Linked DNA regions of Coturnix japonica. The protein of the gene in region 3 interacts with the protein of the main gene of each other region in a biochemical or structural test. Links are inferred from orthologs where the notes say so. Each region holds a gene or a part of one and is shown on either strand. Other genes may lie near its edges. The genes, in order: RPTOR, GAB2 and MAPK1.

Region 1 (3,648 bases), on a different chromosome or scaffold from region 3:
GGAGGAGTGCGAGAGGTTAAGCTTTGTGCTTCACCCTGTATCATCCCCCATCACAGCCTCTGAGCATCTGTTATTGTCAATATCCCATTCCTTTGACAAGCCAGTGATGCCTTCAAGCTTGCAAAGGATGTATTTAGGTACCGTGTATTCCTCCTTCCTTTTATAAGAGGGAAAGCTGCCTACAAAAGTCAGTATTCTGCTTGCAAGAAGACTGTTAAATTCAGAGAGGAGTCTGACATTGGGGAAAAGGATGGGAGTGGAAAGAAGGAAATCAATAGTGGGAGCACACAAACCCCAGCAAAACTCCTGAGCTCTGCAGCTTCAAAGATGCATCTTCAGTTTTATGAGCCAGCGCTGGACCACAACTCGAGTCTTGGCAGCAAAAGATAACTGCTCAATAGAGCGTCTCATTTCCAAGGGGACTTGATCCACATAGCTCTTTTGAACTGAGTACAGTTATTCCTCTCTGCACAAATATCTCCCCTTTTCTTCTTCTGAACCTAGTTCTACTGCTCCAAAGGTGAAAGACAAGGGAAACAGGGCCCAGACTTCCTAAGGCCTTACTGGAAAGAAAAAGGTAACACCATCTCAAAAGAACAGATTCAAGTTTGGGCACACTTGTTTTGGCAAATGTAAACCCTCAACTCTTAGAGCTAAATCAGCTCTAGCTCAGCTCTTAACCTATTCTGCAATGTCAAACATCGATGCTAACAACCCTTTCTTCTACATTAAAGCCTTGTAGAGAAGAAGGTAAAGTCAGCAAATGCTATGCCCTTATATAAGGTACACGTAGAAAGCAAGGTAGGAAAATGGAGTTAGCCTGAAGGAGTTCAGTCTACAGCTGTCAGCATCTTCCCTGAACACGACTGATGATGCAGCAAGAAGACGATGTAAGAGCAGTGCAGGGGAAATCCCAGACATCAGCTGTTCAGCTGAGTCCATCACCAAGGAAGCAAAATTCAGAGCCCAGAGATGGTAAATGTTAATCAACATCCTTCACAAAAACTGGCGTTGGCAAGGAAGGCACGTGGACCAACTGAATGACGCTACAAAGGGCAACTTGAGATGACTGCTGGATACTTTCCTCTCTGCCTACAGACAAACACGTGCCCTGCATTACCACTGTTTTCATCCTGCTTTTATTGACGTCTCTGCAAAGAGCAAGTTTGGACCATGGCAATTTTCTCAGTATGCTGCAGACATCCAGCAGCTTCTCATCAGCTTTGCACACATACTGCAGTGAGGCACGGAGCCTAACGTTACCTCAAATGCAGTTCCTCATTCCTAAAGCACCAGAGACGAAACAGGAGGTATTAAGGAAAACAGCAGATATGAGCTCAACAAGGCAGCACTGGTAAAATCCAATGAATAGCTAAAAGAGCTGTGTCAGACTCCCGTGATGAGCCACAAGCTCCGAAATGAGAACTGTCAGATTTTAAGGTCAGAATGAGTGATGGTGGTCATCTCATCTGACCTCCCCACACAGCACAAACCAGAGAATCTCACCCAGCAATTCCTGCATTAATCCCACAAGCACTGATTGAACCACAGTGCATCTAGAAACACCTGTAGCCTCGGTTAGAACTATTCAAGTGACAGAGAAACCCCATGAGAGCATTAGTACATTATCAGGTCTCAGAAGGACAAAATGTCCATCTCCTTTAATATCTTCAAACAGACTTCAGGATTACTTAAAACTGGCCTTCTGGTTTCATCCTGTGCACAGCAGGATGTCAGTGCTCCTTTGTACATCTTTTTCTAAGTTTTCTAGCATCCAAATCTGTTCAGTGTTTAACTGTGCTGCCCTGCAATGTGCCAGATCCGGACTGCATATTCTCATCACCTCCTGACACACAATGAGCAGTGGACAGTAAGTGCTGGAATTGAGCTAAATGAAGTCAGAGGTGCAACATGCAAAGCTGTGCGAAGGCTGAGCAGCCCATCAGAAGGAAAAGAGGCAGCATGTGAGCCACTATCCCACGCAGAAGGGAAGAACAAACTCCTGCCACAAGGAGCAGGGCAGTTCCATCGTTGTTCTACAGATCTCTCCTTAGGAACAGGCCAGAGGAACACCTGGCCAAGACAGCTGCTCTGAGGTTTGCAAAGGACAGAAACTTTGTGCCCTTCTGCACCCCACCAAGAGGCTCCTTTAGGTGTTCTTCAGCATTGGGGGAGCTTGTTGTGTTGGGCTTTTAGTCTTGTTGGTTTGTTTAACAAGAAACAAACACAAAACTTGGCCAAAGACCATTCCAGAAAGGTAGAGACTGTTAAACAAGGATGTTACTGGTGGCTGATGTTGAGAAACCCATTTTGCTGTATTCATCTTGAGAAAAAAACCATATCAACACACCTTTGACCTCCCAATCTCCAGGTAGGGGACCTACCTCGTGTAGTTGGCAGCATGTCTGACAGCCCCTGCCACGCCGTTACCATCTCCGGGTTCTTCTCCAGGTCTGCAAAGTTCTTCCATACTCTGATGGCACCATCATCTTGGGAAGCACAAAACAGAACACGATGCCATGTCATTGCCAATGCAACACTCATAGTTATGCATGATAAAAAGAGGAACAGCAACGCTGTGCTCATAACAAACTCCAGAACTGAGAGCCTTGCTGGAACATCATACTTTCTATTAGAGTTGTTTTTTCCTTTAATCTTATTCCATAAAATCTAATATATTGTTCCACTGGGAACTGCTCTAGAGGAACTTTTCTCCTTCCTACAAATAACACCTGACATCAGATGTCGTTCATCTCTTTGACCGATTTTCTCTAGGAACTGTCTCTGTCCTCCTTACTCCTGCACTGAGAACCACAAAAATACCCTCCTAAATACAAAATACAGCCCCACAAAGAAGCTGAATCGAAGCCCAGCCCATCAGCAGCAGATCTTTCAAGTACATCATGTATTTCTTTCAATTTGTTCCCCATCTGTGAAACTCCTGTGCTAAGAATCAATAAATTGAAAGAAAAATGTCCTAAAGGCCCTCTCAAATCCTCTTCCACCTCTCTTAATTATACCCAACCTGTACGTTTCAGCATGAAGTTTGAAAAGCTATTGAAAACACTTAGACTGACAGGTTTAGAATGGCTCCTTGGGAGCGAAGCATTTCTTACTCGCAGCTTTACAGACCAATGAATGAGAAAAAGCTCTTCATCCTTCCTTATGTGATGCAACAGGGCATTCTGGAGAACTGCTTCCCTGGCTGAGACACAGGGACTAGAGAGACTCACAATAAACTCAGAACTATTGGAGAAGTTCAGTGCCTAAAACAATCCCTGTCTGCTCTGGGCTTTAACCAGCAACCAAACCTGATTCCTCATACTTTGGCTGCAGCACGATTTTCCCTTCAGCTCTGAAAGCAGCTTTTGACCATCTAAGGATCACAATGTCCAAGGAATGGCACAGGAGGTTGCTGTGAACTTGCCATGCCAGGTTCTACCTCCAAACGCCGTAACAAACAAAGCTGTGCCTGGAAACAGTTTCAGCAAGTGTTTGATTTGTTTGCTATTTGAGAACACTGCAGCACTTACATAAGCTGTTCAGATATTTCAATGTTGCCAGAAGCAATTTTCAACTTCCATCCTGGAAGAGTTTCAACAGAGACCACAAGGGTGAGGGGAAGGGCCAGGCTGGGCCAAATACAGA
Region 2 (3,648 bases), on a different chromosome or scaffold from region 3:
TCAGAGGGAGGGTGATGAACTGTAAGGGAGGATGGGAGTCGATGGCTGCTGATGGATAACCAGCTGGTGGCTGTCTTTCTCCTCCCCACAGCCCTCCACCTCATCAGCTGCCTCAGATGAGAAGGTTGACTATGTGCAAGTGGACAAGGAGAAGACACAGGCGCTGCAGAGCACCATGCAGGAGTGGACTGATGTGCGGCAGTCCTCAGAAGCCACCAAGAGCACCAAGCAATAGCGGCAGGGCAGACACCTAACAGGCAAATGTCCCAGGGGTTCTCCCAGCTTGGGGCCCTACCAGACTTCCAGCTCCATTTGGACTGGATTTCTCTAAAACTGCTGTCTGTGTGGAGGGGAAGGGTTCTTTATTATCATTTTCTTTTAAGACAAAAGGAACTTAATTGCAGAGGAAGACTTGGCAGATACTGTTTGCCAGTGATAAAGGTCAACTGTATTTGTTGGCTGGGTTTGTGCTTTAGCTGCTGAATGCACCATCCAGGAACTTTGATGTAGCAATACCAGGTTCCACCTTACACATTTGTTGCTTACAGTTATTAAAGCCACCTTGTATATGCTAATACCATCCTTCCCTGCCTTCTTCCATACCATGCCCATAAACTGTGCCACTTAGGTTTGGCAGCATCTCTTCTAGGACATCATTTCCCACCACCAATTCTCTTCTCCTTATGGTTGCCTTCTTCTCAGCATCCACTCAATCCCAAACCTGAGCAAAGACCATTCCTCTTTGACTTTATTTTCATCATCCCATCTATTGTAAATAGTGATGTGTTCAAAACTTCTGATAGTTTTTCTCACTGTGGGACAGCCTCTGTGTTTCTGGTAGTGATTTGTAACCATGATGAGCTCGAAGAGCTTCCAGACTGCCTTGTTGAGCTGGCTTTGCAGTCCAGGACTTACCCCACCGTACATACATACACCAGCACGTACTCAGACACTTGCATGCATGCAGGAACACCCAGGTGTGATGGAGTGTCTTTTATGGTTGACTCTCAGAGTCATTGGGTTGGAGATGCTGGCTTTGGATGGCAGAATTTCAGCCTCTCTGAAGCCAATTGCCTGTGAATCTGGCCCTAGGAACCAAAACCTACCTTTTGTGGCACAAAAATAAGCCCAGAGAGGATGAGTCCTACCCTTGGCTATCTGTATGAGGCATTCAGAAGGGCTGTGGGGCGCCTGTGTACCTGGGTTGATGTGAGGTTGAGTGATAAGTGGGAGGCAAGAGGAGATGTAGGGACCAGGAGAAGGCAGATGTTGTACCTCAGAAGTTGGACTTGGGTGAGGGGCTTCTGTGGGCTTTATCTGGGGTGAAAGGAGTGGAATAACTGAAATGTTTGTCAGTGGTGAAGCCCTAGGCTTGGAAAGGAGCTGGCCAGAAGAAGCAGGACAGGGTATTTCAGTGTTAAATGTATTGTAGCATAGAGCTGGTTCATGCTGGAAGCAAAGGATTGGTCTAAATATTGTTCCTCATCTTTGGTGATACCTCTTTGATACAGATGGGACTTTGTGATGGTCACGACCCCAGGTTCTGATAATGGATGGGAAGCTGCTGTTCCACTGCCTGCATCTTTGACACATGGAGGCTTTGGGATTGTTCCCCAAGCAGCTGCCGCACATGGAGAGTAGAGAAGGAAGAGGCAGCTTATTGCAAAGATAATTACTCATGATCTCATGAAAACAGGAAGAACTAATGATTGCCATGGAGCTGCCTGATTGCCAGACAGCAAGCGCTGACACAGATAAACAGACTGACTGCATATCGAGAGCTAAACAAAAGGCACGTTAGAAGGATTAGGTAATAACATTTGCTAAACAGCTTGAGTTATTCTTTCTTCAAGATGGACCCCTCCCAGCACCAGGAGCTCTACTTCCCACAACCACCACCAAGAAAAGCAATCGTTTGTATTAAGTATTGATGCTTAAGTGTTAACACAGTTGTTTAATCTTGGCCTGAGTTTGGAAAGGGTCAGATGCATCTCACATGGGTACAGGATGCCAGACCCTTAGAGGCTAGGATCTGCCTCATAAAATAAGTCCTCAGTTTCCAACACACGTTTGTGTTTTCCTCTGCCCTGCCATGAAATGGGACGATCTTAAGGGAAAAGCTCTGATGACCCTTTTAAGACATTGCAGTGTTGGGCTTTTACAAGAATAATGGAGCAAATATCCTCATGCTTATGGTAAAAATAATAATCATCATCTAGGAGAGAGATGAGAGAAGTCCCAAAGGGGAAGATTTAGCACAGCCAGATGCTTTGTGAAGACCAGGGCCTGTGCTTCTCATTGTGGACTTGAACGCTTGCATGGTGAGATAATGAAATGAAGAGCAGAGTGCAGTGCTTCATCTTTCTATAGCCCCTTTCATCACCACTTCTCAGGGGAGACAAAACATTGGGTCTGGTCCAGAGCCCACTGAAGTCACTGTAAAGGCTCCCATGAAGCTCAGTGAGCTCATTAAGAGGATGTGGAGAGATCTTCTGGCCTTGGCATCCCATGGGTGCCTGAAACACGAAGGAAAAGCCAGTCCCATGGATCTGGTGTGCATTGACCTGGCTGGAAGTGAGCTCTGCACAGTCCCTGTGGAAAGGCAAAGAACTTGGCTTTCCTATTTTGTCCCCCAACCTGCTCTATACAAAGGAAAATCAGGTTGGGGAGGAGGGATTATGATGTACACTGAACGCATTTCCCTGCCAAAATCATGCTGTTTGCCTCCTAAAATGCAGCCTTCTCTGGGTGGATGGCAGCAGAAACTTCAGAAATAGCCCTTCATGTTGCTTGGGGTCTCTCGCAGTGCAATTATGCTTGAGGTGAAACTGAGCCAGCTTCAGGCCAAAGAAAGCTTGAGCCACACCAAAAGCATGAAAAAATCAAGTTGTAATTGTAATTTTCTTCACTTTTCTGGCCAAGTGCATTAGATATATATCCAGTTGTTTGGAGCACGGTCAGAAATGTGTCTTCTACCTCATGTGAGGCTGGGAGATGGGGAGTGCAGCGTTTGAGGCACAGACTCAGATGTGAATGATCCAAATCGTTTATTACAAGTTCTCACATCCCTTATATACCTTTACAAGTTGTTATTTTCTAACTTTCCCGTCCGCCCTTACAACTTTCCCAACCACCTTTACATGTCAACAAAGCATTCTTCAAAACACTTTTCAACTGTCCATGCAGGCACGTATCCAATCAGAGCTGTGAGACTCTTCTTCTCCTTGCAGAGGTGTCCTTGGTTCTCATGCTGTTTATCTTGCTCCACAGCTGCTGCTCTGAACAGCTTTTCTTGTATTCCCACAGGGGAGCTCAGCCATGGTGCCATTGTTTGAGAACCAAACCAGGGTTGGATACAGTTGGTGCATCTAGTGCCCACTTCCATGTTTAATCCAAGGTGTTAAGATTAGGAAAGCATAATCAGTACTAAACACTACTGGAGAAAACAGTCCTTTTTCTCCACATCCCACAGTGATGATATTTGTTCACAGGTAGACTCCATCCATATAGACGTGGCTGTACCAGCCCCTCTGTAATCAATTGCTGCAGTGGAAATCGCCATTCCCGCCTGTTGTTGAGCTGATTACAGCAGTCCCTGATGATTAATGTTTGTGTAGTATTTAGTCTTAAACTGTATTGAAAAGCAGC
Region 3 (3,748 bases):
CATTTTGCATATAGCAAGCCTTACAGCACAATGCATTTAGAAATAACCAGCACCTTCTGTCTCATACACATCAGCTGACTGCCTAAAACAAAGCCATTAACGCTTGCCTTGCTGTCCTTTCTTAAGAGTACAAACCTAAATGGCTTTTCAATAGCAGGAGCTGTCTCCACCTGCACCCTGTGGCTTTGCCCTCTGCCACCCCAGCCCGGAAGGGAGATGCTCTGCAGATCTGCACTGCGTTACAGTCAAAGCAAGACCCGGGACACGCAGTACGAATCTGCATAAGCTCTACCTGCACTGCTCAGTAAGCACTGTTACTTAACCATAGTAGTCGGTGTGCTGCGCTGCAAGGCATGACAGTTGCTATGGCATTCAGCTGGAACATGTGCATCCAGCACCTCCTTTGTCAAACACGCATAAACTGAGACTTTGTTCCCTGGCATTTCACACCCAAGGCAGAAGATCAATAATTACAGTGCAATGTATCACGTTCAGGATTTCACACCAACAGCTTTAGAGAAGAAAACAAAGGAGCCAAATGAATATCTCAACTAAACTGGAGATTCAGAATTTTTTGTTAAGAAATACAGATAGCATTTGAAGCAGAATATCATTTAATATGGCAAGTTTCCAAACAGACGATAATATTCCACAGTTTCAGAGAGGAAACCCTTCCATAACAGAATGGAGTGACACACCGTGTGCAGGGGAAGAGAAGGACCCCGTTTCCCTGTCTGCTCCCAATCACGGTGACGCCAAAAAAGGGCATCAGCTGCCACCGCACTGCGCCGTGCACAAACATCTCAGCGTGAGCAGCCGGCTGCGGCACCACCTCGGTACCGCACGGCACGGCGCTGCTCACAGCTCCTGCCTGGATCGCTCTGCGGGCACCAAGCTCTGCTGGGGCTGCGAGCTGCCACCCGGCTCCGCTGATAAAGGCACACAATAACAACACCTGGAACACGAGCTCTGGACGGGCCGTTGTTGTGACTTCCAGCACTAAACCAATAACAAGGTTATTTTTACACCATCAACGGGAGCTTTTGTTTTTTTTGGTTTATGTGCTGGAGCTTCTTCCCACAACACAAAAGCAAAGGCCGCAGCTTTAAAGTTCCTGGCAGATGTTTGTCTGCCTCCCCAGCAGCTCAGGAGCGGCTCCAGCTCCCACCAACACAGCTCGGCCTCACCGTGACGGAGCAGCACATCCCCACAGCTGCGAGAGGAAACCTGCAGATCCACAGCGTGCAGCTGAAGGCAGCAAGGCAGCTCTGCTGAGCGATACACTGCGGTTTACAAAGCACGAACCGACAGAGAGAGAAAGCAAAGCTGCTACACAACCATAGCTGCGAGTGTCACACAGCACCTCCGGTCACACAACACACCGGGAAGCGCCGCGATGGGCCCGTCAACGAGGAGCTGCGTTTCCCATCCACAGCCGCCCATGCAGAGCAGGTGCCCCGAGCCGAGCACGGCCGGCCCAGCCCGGAGCTCAGCGGCAGCACCGCGGCTCGGCCCGGCACGTCGGGGCCGCTGCTACAACGCCAAAATCTCGCGATCGTTGTCCCGCATTTCGCGGTTGGCGCTCGGAGCTCGGACCGGTCGGCGCAGAACGCGCACACACGGCCCGGCCGCCGCCTGCCAGCCGGGCAGGGCCGAGCGGAGCCACCCGGCCGCAGCCGCAGCGGGAGGCCCGGGCAGCAGCAGCAGCAGCAGCAGCAGCAGCCAGGTGAGCGCCGCACAAAGGGACAGCGGGGCCCAGGGCACAGCGGGGCAGGGCAGGGCCCAGGGCAGGGCAAGCGGCGGCCGCCCGGCCTTCACCTTCACCTGCCCCGCCCCGAGGCCGCGCGGGCCGCTCCCGGCCGCACTCACACAGCGCCCCGAGCCGTACTCACCACCCCATGCCGTACTCAGCACACTGTGCCGTACTCACCACCCCGTGCCGTACTCAGCACCCCATGCCGTACTCACCACCCCATGCCGTACTCACCACACCATGCCGTACTCACCACCCCATGCCGTACTCACCACCCCGTGCCGTACTCACCACACCATGCCGTACTCACCACACCATGCCGTACTCACCACACCATGCCGTACGCCCCCTCTCCGATGTACGAGAGGTTGGTGTATCGCGGCCCCACGTCGAACACTTGGCCCCGCACCATCTCCGGGCCCCCGGTGCCGGTAGAGCCGCCCGCGGCCGCGGCCCCCGCCACCGCCGCCATGTTGTCCGTGCCGGGAACCGCGGCGACTGCGTGCGGGGAGGGGAGGGAGGAGAAAGGAGGGGACGGGAAGGAGGGAGCGAGGAGGAAGGAGGCGGCTCCGCCACACCGCGCTGAGAAGCACCGGCCGGAGAACGGGCCGCGGAGAACGGAACGAACCGACCCGCCGAGCAACCACCGCCACCAGAGCGGGGACGGGACGGGACGGGAGGGGGCGGGGGGCGGGGCGAGACCGGGGGGGCCTCGGACTGCGGTAACCGCAACCGACGGGGAGGGGGCGCGGCGCGCGGGTCACGTGGGCGGCGGGTCACGTGGTGGGCGCGGCCGCTCCGAGCGCCGCCATTAGAGGAGTCAGGTGATGGCGGGAGGAAATGGAGACCGGGATGGGGGGGAACGGGACGGGACGGGACGGGACGAGCACGGCGGGTACGAGCACCGTGCGGGGACGAGCTCCGTGCGCGTCGCTCTGGGCCGGACACGCAGCCGTTCCCGCGGCTCCGTGTCCGGCGCTACGTGCGCGTTCCCGCGCCCACACGGTGCTGTCACACACGGTGCTGTCACACACGGTGCTGTCACACGCAGCCGGGCCGGGCCGTCTGTCTGAGCTGACATTAAAGCATCAGTGACAGAAGGAATGGGAAGGTGTCTCAAGCAGGTCATTGGTTTGATGGCTGAAACACGGCGTTATGTTGAGGGGATGCTGATACCACGAAATGACGGCGGGTAATGACGAGTGGAGAGAAGAAAATGAACAGCATCATTGGGCTTAGAAAAAGCACAAACAGCTGCCCCACAGTGCTGCTCTTGGGGATTTCGTTTTCTCTGCTAAAACTCAAACTGAACAGTGATGCAGGAAACTTAAAGGTAGTTTATAGAAACAAGTAAAGGAAACTTAAAGGTAACAAGTAAAAGAAACAAGGGGCCTGGGAGAAGCAGGGAGAGTGCTGTGCTCTCAGTGCTGTGCTCAGTGCTGTGCTCTCAGTGCTGTGCTCAGTGCTGTGCTCTCAGTGCTGTGCTCTCAGTGCTGTGCTCAGTGCTGTGCTCTCAGTGCTGTGCTCTGTGCTGTGTTCTCTGTGCTGTGCTCTCAGTGCTGTGCTCAGTGCTGTGCTCTCAGTGCTGTGCTCAGTGCTGTGCTCTCAGTGCTGTGCTCAGTGCTGTGCTCCCAGTGCCCCGTCGTCCAAACCAAATGCAGACATCCAGTACAGAAAGCAATTTTCCAAGTGTTATTTAAGGAGACTTCAAGCCTCTGCCTGGAGGAGAAGAAAGAGAAGTAAGACATGTAAGGCATTCTATAAAGATGTATTTTAACTTCTAAGGCAGTCAGCAACCATGGTGATGAATGTGACACAAACTGAAATTGCTCGGATATGAGCTCTGATCCACTGGGAGCCATCCTAAGAGAGTCATAAAGAGCATCAGATGCTAATGACTTCTAATCAGAACCTACCTGGGCCTGATTGAACTGGTGTCATACAGCCGAAAGCCCACGGGACAAGTTGTCATTTAAATGTCATCCACTGCTTCAG

What was found.
Region 1: of the proteins of MAPK1 (region 3) and RPTOR, one has a biochemical effect on the other in vitro, tested with the Homo sapiens proteins (2 studies listed by BioGRID, with this or other methods). The link is inferred for Coturnix japonica from reciprocal best matches to the Homo sapiens genes MAPK1 and RPTOR.
Region 2: of the proteins of MAPK1 (region 3) and GAB2, one has a biochemical effect on the other in vitro, tested with the Homo sapiens proteins (2 studies listed by BioGRID). The link is inferred for Coturnix japonica from reciprocal best matches to the Homo sapiens genes MAPK1 and GAB2.

The regions. Positions count from the first base shown.
Region 1 is NC_029533.1:5,000,698-5,004,345, reverse strand, and holds part of RPTOR (regulatory-associated protein of mTOR), read right to left. Parts: intron 2,490-3,648; coding exon 2,385-2,489; intron 1-2,384. UniProt on the Homo sapiens protein: Component of the mechanistic target of rapamycin complex 1 (mTORC1), an evolutionarily conserved central nutrient sensor that stimulates anabolic reactions and macromolecule biosynthesis to promote cellular biomass generation and growth.
Region 2 is NC_029516.1:172,541,757-172,545,404, forward strand, and holds the end of GAB2 (GRB2-associated-binding protein 2), read left to right. Parts: intron 1-91; coding exon 92-235; 3' UTR 236-3,121; downstream 3,122-3,648. UniProt on the Homo sapiens protein: Adapter protein which acts downstream of several membrane receptors including cytokine, antigen, hormone, cell matrix and growth factor receptors to regulate multiple signaling pathways.
Region 3 is NC_029530.1:385,994-389,741, reverse strand, and holds the start of MAPK1 (mitogen-activated protein kinase 1), read right to left. Parts: upstream 2,450-3,748; 5' UTR 2,226-2,449; coding exon 2,083-2,225; intron 1-2,082. UniProt on the Homo sapiens protein: Serine/threonine kinase which acts as an essential component of the MAP kinase signal transduction pathway. MAPK1/ERK2 and MAPK3/ERK1 are the 2 MAPKs which play an important role in the MAPK/ERK cascade.